Oryctolagus cuniculus: one gene and its partners. The protein of the gene in region 1 interacts with the protein of each later gene in a pairwise test. Links are inferred from orthologs where the notes say so. Each region holds a gene or a part of one and is shown in the gene's direction. Other genes may lie near its edges.

Region 1 (4,340 bases):
AGTACAAAAAAATGAGCTAGAGAAGCATTAGTTTATAAAACACAACATATGGGATGATAACATTTTTGCAAACAACATATAATCAATAATTATAATTTAAAATAATGATAATTCATAATTATATTATATATAATATTTTATATGACACATAATATATACGGATTATGCTTCCAACAACGTTTTGGGCCAACTCTTCCACCATGGAGAACAACCTGGGTGCAAAATCAAACATGCTAATGCGCTGAAGAGCTGCTAAAGCAGTGAGGATTTCTGGATGCAAGATGTGGAACGAGAGGAGAGCTAGGAGAGGCGAGTCTGACATTTGCCCTCACTTTTCCAAACCTGAGGTGATTGCTGATTCTAAAAACAGTGGCTGAAAAAGTGAGCAGAGCTTTCGGCTGTCTCATGGAGCTGAGAAGGCTCTGTCAAAGAGGAGGAGCCCTGATAAACACTCAAGACTTTCGGTCGGGGTGCTCTAGGACTATGTATGTCTTGGCTATGAGTAAGGGTGAACAGTCACAAAGACGGAGGTTCTGCTTTCAACAACCACCCTCAGCTCCTGATTGGGATAAGGTGAGCTGTCCTCAGCCCGGCTGCCGTCATGCATACTTGTCTCTAGCTCTGTCCCATAGACCACCCCCTCCCCAGCCACCTGGCTCAAACTCAGCCCTGGTCCTAGTAAACACACCATTGCTGGGGGAATGCTGAGGCAGCAGAGACAGATCCAGGACAACTGAGCATTGCATAACTGAGCTTCCAATTAGTGCAGTCCCCTCTCTCCCCACCCTACACCGGGAAATGTATTAATCCACCCCAGCTCTTCCACCTGGCTCCTCAGTGTGTGTTTGAAACTGGTTTGGCAAACTAGGACCTCAGTGAGACTTTTCTGTTCTGTGACCTCTGCTTGACTGGCTGCAGTCTTACTCTTCCACACACACACTCCACCCCCCGCCACAAGCCACTAATCCATTTGCTTCCTCCAAAGAAGAATTTCATCAAATTTAACAGTGAGAGTCATTTGCCCCACAATTTCCGTTTGACAGCGCTTATTGAGAATAAAGCAAGTCATTTCTTCATGATTTTTGACGTCATGCATATATTTTCAGGCAAACAGGATGGGAGAGAACTGAAGAAGGAATACCTAGAAGTTTCCTGCAAACACGCCACAAGGTAACTCTTTAAGCCCTGAGGCGCTGACAACACTTCATTCATTCCATCAGTCATTCAAGAAACACGGACTGAAATTGATACCTGCCTAGTTAGAGGGTAGACGGAGATGAGTGAGGATCGATCCGTCCTAGAAGAGATCAGTAAAGACAGGTTTGCGGACATCACTTTCTCCAACCTTTCCCAGGCTGCAAGCCTGCTCCTAGAAGCCCTCTCCTCTACCGGGAATTCCTCACCCGTTGGGCGCCAACCACTGGGGACTGCCGGTGGGCGACCGTTTGGAGACTACAACTCCCGGCAGCCACTGCAGCGGGTGGTGGAGGAGCTTGCGCAGGCGCGCGGGCCGGCCCCCGCACGCAGGCGCACTGCGAACGCCGGCTGAGCTGGGTCTCGCTGCTCGGTGCGCGGCGGCGGAGAGCGAGGCCTGGTGGGCACCGCCGAAGCGCGGACCGGCTGCTCGAGGTTGTGCGCGTGAGAGAGGCACGGCGCGCGGGCGAGCGAGTGAGCGCTTCAGCTTAGTGGCACCGGGACCGGTTGCCTAGAGCCTGGTGAGTTGGGGGCCCTGCGGCTGCGGCCCCTCCCCCTCCCGCCGGCGGATCCGGGCTGTCCTCGGCTGGACGCGGGAGAGGCCCCGGGGGCGAGGTTAGGCGCCGGCCGTGGGCTCCAGCCCGGGTGCCTGCGCCCAAACCCTTGCGGCGCGTCCGTGCGTCACGGGCCCGGCTTTCTAACGGCCGCGCGGCCGGCGGAGGGCCGAGTGGGGGTGGGGAGCGCTGGTGCGATCGCCATCGGGAACGCCGGTCGAGGCGGGGCAGCGCGGCGGTAGCGGCGGCGGCGGCGGCGGGGCTGGAAGCGGCGCCGGGGACTGCGGGACGCCGAGGCGGCGGGGCGGCGTGAGGCGAGTGCGCAGCCTGCGCCGCCGCCTGGCGCGGACGGGCGGGCGGGCCGCGGGTGGGCGCGAGCGCGGAGCGCGATGACAGGCAGGACGGGGCAGAGATGCGTGTGAAAGCCTTCCGCGGGGCCGGGCGGGCTCCGTGTGCGGAGTTCCCAAGTTGGAGCCCGGACCCGGGCCGGGGCGGGGCCGGGGCCGGCGACTGCAGTTTCCCGGTGTCACCGCGGCAGGGCCGGGCCGGCTCGGCGGCCGGGGGTGTGGTAATTATAGGAATGACAGAACTCGGGCTGCGCGGCGCGTGCGAGCGGGGAGCCCGGCACTGGCGGCGGGGTCGGGCGGAGAGTGCTTCAAGTTACTTGAAAGTTTCAAAATAGTCGTCTCTGATTTTTAAGGTCTAAATTCAACAGTCGCGAAATGTTTTCGTTCCAGAGCCTGCTAGTTATTAGGTAGCTTTTCCGTTCGTGTTTCGTAAACGGCCCCTTCAAAATCTTGACTATGTAAGGGAGGCAGATAACGCGATTTTTCCATCCCTGTTGCTGCTTCAAGCCTCATTCTTGACATTATTTTCTTAACTTTTTTTTTTGCATTTCTAATATTTTGGAAGTACTCCACAAGTTATTGTCCCACCCCCCTTATAGATTTTGAAGAGATGAAAATTTGATTTTTCAAAGGAAAGTGAGGATGAGCGCTATTGGACTTTTACTGAAATAATTTATTCTTGACACTGTTTTGTGTATGATTTTAGGATGGAGGGCGTGAGAAAGTAAAGGAGTTGATATTTATTGAACTCCTTTCTGTGTAATGTACACAATTCTTAACATTTTTATAAAGATTTTTGTGTATGGATTTGAAAGAGCTGCGGGAGGGTGCGGGGGCGAGAGAGATCTTCCATCCACACACACTGCAATGGCCAGGGCTGGGCCAGGCTGAAGCTTGGAGCCAGGATCTTCCTGGCCTCCCACGTGGGTGCTGGAGCCCAAGCACTTGGGCCATCCTACACTGCTTTTCTAGGCCATTGGCAGAGAACTGGATGGGAGGTGGAGCAGCCGGGTCCCCAAGGCAGCCAAGGCAGTGACTTTACCAGCACCACAAGGCCCACCCCATAGTAAATTTTGAGTAGCTGTTAAATTTTTTTGCTTTACAGATGAAAAGGCATTGAAGGTCAGAGAAGTTAAGTAACTTGTTTAAGAGGCAGCACTCATTGGGACTAACCTTAGAACCCAAAGTCACTGCCATTTTAAGAATTGGTTCTCTCCTTTCATAACTTCTGAGTTGTGTTTTTCGATTTAATCCATTCATTCTGTGGAGCGATTTATGTGACTGACACTAAAGATGTAGTAATGATCATGACACACTTATCTCTGACTTCATGAAATTGATAGAGTAGCAGAGAAGGCTAACAAGTAACTAATGCAGGTATTGACTACATGGCATTTTATCAGTCATTAAAATTGAGCAGATTTGTAAACCACTAAATAGCAAAGGAAGTTCAAATGGAAGCAGACAAAATAAGCCTTGAGGAAAATTAGCCTGTAGGAAAACAAAGCATACATTTAGAGAAACTTAGAGTAAACTAAATGACAGAAATAAACACATCGCCTGAAGTCAGTACGACATTGTGTTATTTTCTAAAGTGGTCCTCATAGCGTTTTTTCACAGAAGCATGATTTAATATTCCGTTCTTTGACTTTATCTAGAGTTAATATGTGAATGCTTCCAAAGATTTCATGAAAAGATGGAATTAAAAGATTGATTTTACAAAAAGAGTTTGAGGGGTGAGCATTGTGGCACATCAGGTTAAGCTGCTCCTTGGAACACCTGCATCTCATGTTGGAGTGCTGGTTTGAGTATCCGCTGCCATGTTTCCTGATAGTGCATCTTGGGAAGCGGTGGATGGTAGCTGAAGTGTTGAGATCTTTCACCATTGTAGGAGACCAGGATGGAGTTCCTGGTTCTTGGCTTCAGCCTGGCCTAGCCCTGGCAGTTGGCGGAGTGAACCAGTGTGTGGAAGATCTCTCTGTTTCTTCCTCTCTCTGTCACTCTGCCTTTCAAGTAGATGAAGGTGAATAACTAAACATTAAATTTCTTTGAAATACATTCATAGTTTTTTCTTTGATAAGCACTTTCCATGGGCATTTTGAAGATCCCTCCCAAAAGGGACCATGAAAAAAAATACCACCATCCAAGACACTTTCTTATTTATTGTTCTCTATAAAATACAAACCTTAGAGACATTCTTCTTAAGACCCCGGTACTCGCTAGACTTGTTTGTTTTTTAAACAAA
Region 2 (4,303 bases), on another chromosome or scaffold:
CAAATAAATAAACCTTAAAAAAAAAAACACCCTTACTGTTAGCTGTCTCTTACATGGGTAACAACCTAGAGACCATAAAGCAAGCTGACTAGTGATTACATCTATTTAAGTTGAAAATCATCATCCAATTTGTAAGCAAGCACTAAAAACAGCTGGGATGATTGAGCCTCACACAGAATCAAACAAAGATCCACAAGTCACTCGTTAGAAAGGAACTTGGAATGCGACGTTTGTCTCAATGAAGAGAAGGGTTGACCCGTGTGGTGGACAGGTGAGTGCCTACTGCCCACTAAGGGCAGTTCTAGGGATCCTAGTGGCTGAAATACAGGAAGAAAGCGGGATGGCTACCAGACGGGGCGAGGATGAGGACGTAGAGAAGCAGGAGGGAGGCCGGGCGTGGGGCGGAGGTGCGACGAGGGCTGCTGACAGGCACTGAGGTGGAGGACCAGGTGGAGGACCGCGAGGCGAGGGCACAGCCGTGGCTCTGCGGCGCCCCGTGCAGCTTCCAACAGCGGGCACTCAGCGTCGTTCACGCAGCGCGCGCAAGGCGACGCCGGGCTGGGACGAGCCCTGGGCTCCGCCCCGCTCAGCCACCACAGGGGGATGGCTGCGATGGGTTCTACAACATCCTGAAGGGTCTGCCCTGTGAATTCTGTTAGCAAAAAAAAAGGGGGGGGGGCGTAGTGCCGTGGGTTAACCCGCCGGCATCCCACATGGGCACTCCTCTGCCGATCCAGTGCTCTGCCACGGCCCGAGTCCTCGGACCCCTGCCCACCCCCCCACCCCGGGGAGACCCCGAAGAAGCTCCTGGCCCCGGATCGGCTCAGCTCCGGCCGCTGCGGCCACCTGCGGAGTGACCCGGCGGACGAAGACCTCTCTGGGCGTCACTCTTTAAAATAAACGAATCTTGACGCGGGCCTGATCCCAGACGGCCTTCCTGCCGAGGGCGGGGGCCGACAACGGCCGCGCCGCCCCGCAAGCTCACCCCCCGACCCAACGCCCCCGGGCCGCCCCACCACGGAGGGCGCCGCAGGCGGGGGTACGAAGCCCCAGGCCCGCGCCAGCCGTGAAGTGGCCGCGGCCGGCTCCCCGCGCCCGCCAGCCCCCCACGCGGGAGCTCCACGGGCCTCGCTCCCGCCAGTGACTGACCACGCGCTCTCGAGCCACTCCGGAAGCGCCAGCCCGGCCGGCACCTCAGCAGCGAGCGCGTCAGGCCAGCCGGCCTCAAGCGCCGGGCGACACGTGACCCGAGGACGCGGGCGCGGGTTCCGCGGCTGAGGCGGCGCGCATGCGTGGGGCGGGCGCGTTCCTCCGGCGGACGGTTTCCAGGGAGCTGTGCGCATGCGCCCTGCGGCGCCCCAACCCCCCAACCGCAGGCCGGCGAAGGAGGAACTGTTGGCGGAGGCGCCCGTGCGCTTGCGCACTAGCCGGACGCGGGCGTTTCTTTCATTTTTTTCGAATTGGTTTTGAGGGGTAGATTCGAGTTACAAGATGGCGTCCCGGGGCGCGTTGGGGGCTGTGATCCCGGCGGTCTCGGGCTGAAGAGACGGCTGTCCCCTCGCTGCGGAGCGCGGAGAGGCGAGGCCCCCGGGGGACATGGTGTTGGGCTGCCGGCTTGCTGACCACGAAGTCCTCCGAGGCTCCCAGCGCACCGGAAGCGACCGGGCGCAGCGACCGCGACCTCGGCCCCGCTCCGCGCCGCGCCCACGACCCAGCGGGAGCCGCGGCGGCCGCCGGCGAGGTGCGGAGCGGGGGCGGGGGGCCGCGGGGCGGCCTGAGGAGGGGGCGTCGGGCGGCAGCCGCGCAGGGAGGGGCGGGTGGCAGCGGCGACGCGGCCGGGGCTGTTTGTGAAGCCGCCTCTCGGGGCCGGCGCCCGCGCCCGGCGTGAGTGCGGCCCGCCCGGGCGCGGCCCCCGCGGAGGCAGGAGGCAGGAGGGCGCCAGCTGCGGGGTGGGCTCGGGGCGCGGGGCTGCGCGGTGGGCTCGGGGCGCAGGGCCGGCTGCGGGGTGGGCTCGGGCGCGGGGCCGGCTGCGGGGTGGGCTCGGGCGCGGGGCCGGCTGCGCGGTGGGCTCGGGGCGCGGGGCTGCGCGGTGGGCTCGGGGCGCAGGGCCGGCTGCGGGGTGGGCTCGGGCGCGGGGCTGCGGTGTGGGCTCGGGGCGCAGGGCCGGCTGCGGGGTGGGCTCGGGGCGCAGGGCCGGCTGCGGGGTGGGCTCGGGCGCGGGGCTGCGCGGTGGGCTCGGGGCGCAGGGCCGGCTGCGGGGTGGGCTCGGGCGCGGGGCTGCGGGGTGGGCTCGGGGCGCAGGGCCGGCTGCGGGGTGGGCAGGCGGAGCGGGCCCCGGCGGAGGCAGGAGGGCGCCGGTGGGCTCGGGCGCGGGGCTGCGGGGTGGGCTCGGGCGCGGGCCCCGGCGGAGGTAGGAGGGCGCCGGCTGCGCGGTGGGCTTGGGGCGCAGGGCCGGCTCGGGGGCGCCGGGGCTGCGCGCTGGGCTCGGGCGCGGGATCCCCGCGGCCCCCGCGGAGGTAGGAGGGCGCCGGTGGGCAGGCGGAGCGGGCCGGGGCTGCGCGGTGGGCTTGGGGCGCGGGGTCCCCGCGGAGGTAGGAGAGCGCCGGTGGGCAGGCGGAGCGGGCCGGGGCTGCGCGGTGGGCTTGGGGCGCGGGGTCCCCGCGGAGGTAGGAGGACGCCGGTGGGCAGGCGGAGCGGGCCGGGGCTGCGCGGTGGGCTCGGGCGCGGGGCCTCGCCGTCCCCCTCCCGCTGAGGGCCGGGGTCCCGGGTGTTCCAGCCCCATCCTTTGCTGCTGTGGGCTGCGTGCCCGGGCCGGACTTCCGCGGGGAGGCGGTTCCGAGTCTGGGTTCTGCCCGGCACCTCTGTCCCTGCCACGCTGCGGGCACCTCGCGAGCCCGGCTCCACGGGCAGGGCTGCTCCGGGAGGGGCGACCACAGGACTTTTCCCAGTTACCGTGGACGCGGCTTCATGTCTCGGAGTCTGTCGTACCTGGGCAAACGTTTTTGAAACCAAAAAATAGCGGTGGCCGGAAGGCACCTGGTGTGCAGGCCTGTTGCGGGATTGCCCGCTTCTTCCGGCTGCGTCACCCAAAAGCGTCAGGCTGGGAAGCAAAATTCGGGTTAAGATTATTTTTACTTGGAAGCCAGAGTTAAAGAGAGGGGGAGAGACAGCGATCTTCCATCTCCGGTTCACGTCCCAGATGGCCCCAGAGGCCAGAGCTGGGCGGTCCTGAGCCAGCAGCTTCTTCCGGGTCTCCCACGTGGGTGCAGGGGCCCAGCACCCGGGTGCTAGCAGGGAGCCGGCTCAGAAGAGGCGCTTCACCTGCTGTGCCGGGCGCCGGCCCCCACGCTTTGTCCTTACAAGTACGAGCTCTTCCCTGGCTCCAGGAGCTTTTCTAACTAAGCTTTTTCTTTCATCTCATCCATCCCTCATAACTTCCTGTTAATTTGATCAGGTAAAGAACCTGAGTCAAAAATTCCCACGCCCAGGCCTCACAGCTGGAAAACAGAAGTGGAATGCCAGCACCTTGTAGTGTTTTTTTTCTTTCCAAAGATTTATTTTTATTTAACTGAAGTAGTTACAGAGAGTGGCAGGAGCTAAGCTGGAGCCAGGAGTCAGGAGCCTCTTCCGGGTCCCCCACGCGGGTGCAGGGGCCCAGGCACTTGGGCCATCCTCCACTGCTGTCCCAGACCGGAGCAGGGAGCTGGATGGGAAGAGGAGCAGCGGTGCTCAAACCGGCGCCCAGGTGGGGTGCCGACCCTGCAGGCTGCGGTTTTACCTGCCGGCCCCTTGCGGTGTTTCTGAAATAGGTCTTAGTCCAGGTCACTGATTGAGCAGCCGAGATAGTGCCTGCTGTGGGCCGGGCCGGTCTGGGCATTTGGAACGCATCAGCGATCCACGGCTTGACAGATATTTTAGAAAATGGAAGCAGCTGCATTGATCGCGATTATGTTCGGACGCGTTGTGGGTCCCAGGTGGAAGGGAAAAGTTCTGCTTTGTCAGCGCTCTCAGCTCGACCCCCTTCTGCCTGCCGCGCTAACCGTAATAGCAAGCGGGACCGACCCTTCCAGCTTCTCCCTCTCCTGCCCTCTGGTGGAGGTCTTGGTTAATGGCCAGGAGAGTGCTTGCTTAAGTAGACCTGTGTCTCGGAACAGGTCAGCAAGGAATTATGTCTGCTGCTGCATTTGTTTTTGTTTGTGTGACAAGCATGAACAGCAGAACTTGACCATGTGTTTTTAGGGTGGCATTAAAAAGAATTCCTAGGTACTGGCTGGAAAGTGAATTTATTACATCCCCTGTATAT
Region 3 (4,093 bases), on another chromosome or scaffold:
AGGTGCATGCTTGGTAGCTGCCTGTAATTTTTTGATAAAAGCCCTCATTGCCTGGTTCCCAATGACAGGTCCCCAGGTGCCTTCCCGAGGAGCACACCCCTCTCCACTTTCCCTCTCCACGGCTGTGTGGCTGAGACTACAAGGAGAGGAGGAAACTCCCAACTGGGAAGATTCGCCTCTTTCCGTAATCCTTCTAAAACGTCCTCTTGAAATGAGAATTCATTATCATAAAAACTGATATGTAATTGCTTCAAAACTAAGTTTGGGCTATTTATAGTCTGCCACTTGGGTAAAACCACGGGGGAAGGGGCTTCAGTCCCATAAAACTATCTCAGTTAATGCATGGAGTTTTTTCTGTAAAAAACTGCCTCTTGTCCACACTAGAAATAAGAAGGTATCCGACTGCACATACCATGCTGTTTATTTACTTTCTGCTGAGTATAACTCTACGGCCCGGACCTGGGGCTCTAACCGTGGGACCCCTGGAGCCGGAGCATGACAAAGGCGGCCTGACAGGCGTCACCAAAATGGATACCACCGAGACTCGGCGTGCCTCACGGGGGGCCCTAGGTTGTAACTGCGCTAGACGTGAGCGGGGAGAACGGTGTAACTGCGAGGCCCCCCCCACCCCCCACGCCGCCCCGCGGAAATGCTCATTGTTTCCTTCGGAAGTCCTCTCGGGCATCAAAATGTCAGAAAAGCGAGGGAGAGCCTCCGCGGCGGGGGGACGCTCGGCGGCTCTGAGGCTGAGGCAGGCGGCCGGGCCCGGGGCCAACTCCGCCCGCTGCCACGCGCTGCAGCTCGGGCCCGCCGCGATGCCGCCCACCCCTGGGTCCTGGGCTGCGCGTCCGACGCCACCCGGCCCAGGAGGCGCCAGGGTTCGGGCCGTCGGCCCCCGATTGTGCAGGGGGAGGGGGTGGAACGGAAGGGCGACCCCCAGGCCCCCGCGCCGAGTTCTCTGCCCATCTCGCGCCTCCGCGGGCGTCGGGGGAGCCTCCGCGGACCGACTCGCCCCTCGCGACCCCCGATCCCCGACAGGAGGGCCTCCCGCCAGCCCTGCCCCACCCCATCGCAGAGCACAGCGAGGCGGGCCGGGGGTCTCGGCCCGGCGGCAGGCGGAGAAGCCCCCGAGCAAGGTCTTACATCAGCCGCCCCACGTGCAGGCGGAGGGAGGGAGGAAGTCGCTCCCCTCCCCGGGGCTGCGCCTCCCCCCGCCCCCGCCCCGCCCTCCCGCCGCGCCTCCCCGCCCCGTCCTCGGAGCAGCCGCGGCCGCGGAGCCGAGCGGCGCCGCGCGGGGCCGAGTGGAGCCGAGCAGCCGCCGCGCCGCGTCGCCGGTTTAAGCGCAGTGCGAGGCCGCGGCCGGGGGCGGCGGTAGTGAGAGCAGCGCTGCGCTCCAGCCCCCTTTTCCCTCCATGGTTTCTCTCCGCTCCCGTGAGTAACTTGGCTCCGGGGGCTCCGCTCGCCTTGCCCGCACGCCGCACGCCGCCTGGGACCGCGCCGCCGGCCTCCGCCGCGAGCAGACCCCCTTCCGACGGCCTTCGCTGCGCAGGCCGGGACGCCTCTCCCCCCTCCGCCCCCGCCGCGGAAAGTTAAGTTTGAAGAGGGGGGAAGAGGGGAACATGGACATGAAGAGGAGGATCCACCTGGAGCTGAGGAACCGGACCCCGGCAGCTGTAAGCAGAGCCCCCGTCGGGCGCCCTTTCCCCCCCGATGACTTGCATGTAATGGTGGCCACCTGCGGGGGCCCCGGGCCGCGGGTTCGCGGGCTCCGGCGCGGGGAAGGGCGCAGCTCGCGGGCTGGGACGGGGAAGGCGGGCGGGCGGGCGGGCGCGGGCGGAGGGGGGGAGCGAGCGCGCGGGGATTAACTCTTTGGCGCCCGCGGGCCCTCGCGGCCGCCCGGGGAAGGCGACGGGGTGAGGGAGCGCAAACTTTGAGCTCCTCGCCCGCCGGGGTCCTCTCCCGGAGGGAGCGCGTGTGCGTGTGGCCGGCGGCGAGAGAAGGAGGCGGGGGGTTGTGTAACGCTGGGAGCCATGTTTGCAGCCTCCCGGGATGCGCGGCCGGGCGGAGGCGGGCCTGCCCGGGAGCCGCGCGGCCATCCCCGGCTGGGCCCGCCGCCGGCCACGCCGGACTCCGCACGCCCCGGGCCGGCCCCGGGAGCGGGAGCCGGCGGCGGGCAGGGCGGGGGGCTGCGCCGGCCGGGCCTCGCGGTTGGCGTCGGCCCGGCCGAGGGCAGGGGCCGCGGGGGCGAGCAAGGGGGCTCTGCTCCTTTGAAGGGGGCCAGAAGCCCCCTCGGGCGCTGGGGGGCCCGGGCGGGCGCGGCCTGGCGCGCGGAGCGGGGGAGGGGCGGGCCTGGGCGGCGGAGGTGGCGCAACCGCCGCCCCTCCCGAGGCCAAGTTTGAAAAAAGGACGCGGTTCCCGCCATTTTTCAAGCCTAAAAATAAAACTTTCTCCCCCATTGCCCTCGCTCTCCTTTGAGACGCCCTCAGCCATCCTCCCTGCGGCCCCCTCAGGGCGGGCCACGGGCAGGCGTTGTGGCGGCGGCCGGGCCCTCCCCACCCCCGCCGTCGCAGTCGCAGTCGCCGCCGCGGAGCCCGGGGGCCCCTGCCCCGGGAGGCTGGCCCCTCGGTGTGGGCGGGCGGCGGCCGCTCGCGCCAGCCCGGGCGCGCCACAGGCCGCCACAGCGCCATGTTGGCGGGCGCCCGTCTCCCTCCGCCGCGTGAGGCGGCCGGCCGAGCGGCTCGGAGCTCCGGCGCGGCCCGCTCGCCCTCGCCCGCCGCGCTTTCCCGGGCCGAGCCTTCGGTGTGTCCCGTCCCGCCGGGGCTCGGCTCGCACTGGCGGTCGCCGCGCGCTACGGCTGCAGCCGACTCGTCCCCTCGCGGGCGCGCTGCCGGCGCCCTCCCCCCTTCTTAAAAGGGCAACGGCAGGCCTGGCGCGCGGGCGTTCGCGCGGTCTTGGGGCCGGCGCAGGGCCGTGCGGTGGCCTGTGCCCCCGCACGTGCCAGGGTGCGGCCTGCCGCGGCCGGCCTCGGGCCGCTGCTGCGTGTGCGTGGGCCCGGCCCGGGAGCGTCGCCTCTTGTATCGCAGCGAGCGCGAGCCCCCGCGTGGAGAGGCGGCGCGCGGCCGCCCGAGCCCGCGGCGGGTGAGTCGCTGGCGGCAGGAGGCCGCGTGGCGGGTGCTCAGGTGGCTGTGGTTAGCAAGTTGCACACTTGGTGGGATCGGCCGACCGGGCTGTTTACCTGCAGGCCTTGAGGTCAGCGGGCGCGCGTGGTGGCGCCCTGAAACCCCGAGTTGGGTGGGTGGCCTTTTGGCGGGTGTCGGGGTCGAGTCAGACATTTTGTGCCCGCCACGTGCTGCGTGTTGCGTGGTTAGACACCTTGAAGAGCTCGTTCTCACCTGGAGGGCTTAACGCCAGAGTTTCCATTATTGCTTGGAAGTTGGGAATCAATACAGTATCTAAATTTAGCCAAAATTCCCCCTAAGAAAGGTGCACACATAGGTCTTTTTTTTTTTTTTTCTTTTTTTCTGCCAGACAGTGAGAGAGACAGAGACAGAGAGAAAGGCCTTCCTTCCGTTGGTTCACCCCCCAAATGGCCGCTACAGCCGGCGCTGCGCCGATCCAAAGCCAGGAGCCAGATGCTTCCTCCTGGTCTCCCATGCAGGTGCAGGGGCCCAAACACTTGGGCCATCCTCCACTGCCTTCTGGGGCCACAGCAGAGAGCCGGACTGGAAGAGAAGCAACCGGGACTCGAACCCGGGGTGCCAGCGCCGCAGGCAGAGGATTAGCCAAGTGAGCCGCGGCACCAGCCCAGACATAGGTCTTTAAAATCTAAATTTCTGGATTCTCAAACCAAAAGCCTGCTAAAACGCTCGGAGCAAGTAGTTTTCTCTGCTAAATAAGTGCCACTGCTGTTCCCAGTCCATGGTGCCCTTTCTCATATGGAGCAGTATAGCTTTAAAAATATGTGTGTGTGAAAGTATTAGTTTTTTCAAGTAATCAGTTTAGTTTTTGACCACCTTGCCAAGATGCGTGTGACTATTAAAGTTTTAATTAGGCCAGTCGTTGGTCCTGCCCCATTTTTACTGTTCAAAGAGCA

What was found. The genes of interacting proteins can lie anywhere in the genome.
Region 2: the proteins of KPNA1 (region 1) and NUP50 interact in binary tests that used the Homo sapiens proteins (3 or more experiments, as listed by UniProt). The two-hybrid records come from large-scale screens. The link is inferred for Oryctolagus cuniculus from reciprocal best matches to the Homo sapiens genes KPNA1 and NUP50.
Region 3: the proteins of KPNA1 (region 1) and ANP32B interact in binary tests that used the Homo sapiens proteins (3 or more experiments, as listed by UniProt). The link is inferred for Oryctolagus cuniculus from reciprocal best matches to the Homo sapiens genes KPNA1 and ANP32B.

Annotation. Positions count from the first base shown.
Region 1 is NC_091435.1:78,713,282-78,717,621, reverse strand, and holds the start of KPNA1 (importin subunit alpha-5), read left to right. Parts: upstream 1-1,519; 5' UTR 1,520-1,715; intron 1,716-4,340. UniProt on the Homo sapiens protein: Functions in nuclear protein import as an adapter protein for nuclear receptor KPNB1. Binds specifically and directly to substrates containing either a simple or bipartite NLS motif.
Region 2 is NC_091442.1:119,913,229-119,917,531, forward strand, and holds the start of NUP50 (nuclear pore complex protein Nup50), read left to right. Parts: upstream 1-1,471; 5' UTR 1,472-1,741; intron 1,742-4,303. UniProt on the Homo sapiens protein: Component of the nuclear pore complex that has a direct role in nuclear protein import. Actively displaces NLSs from importin-alpha, and facilitates disassembly of the importin-alpha:beta-cargo complex and importin recycling.
Region 3 is NC_091432.1:201,785,985-201,790,077, forward strand, and holds the start of ANP32B (acidic leucine-rich nuclear phosphoprotein 32 family member B), read left to right. Parts: upstream 1-1,261; 5' UTR 1,262-1,619; coding exon 1,620-1,673; intron 1,674-4,093. UniProt on the Homo sapiens protein: Multifunctional protein that is involved in the regulation of many processes including cell proliferation, apoptosis, cell cycle progression or transcription.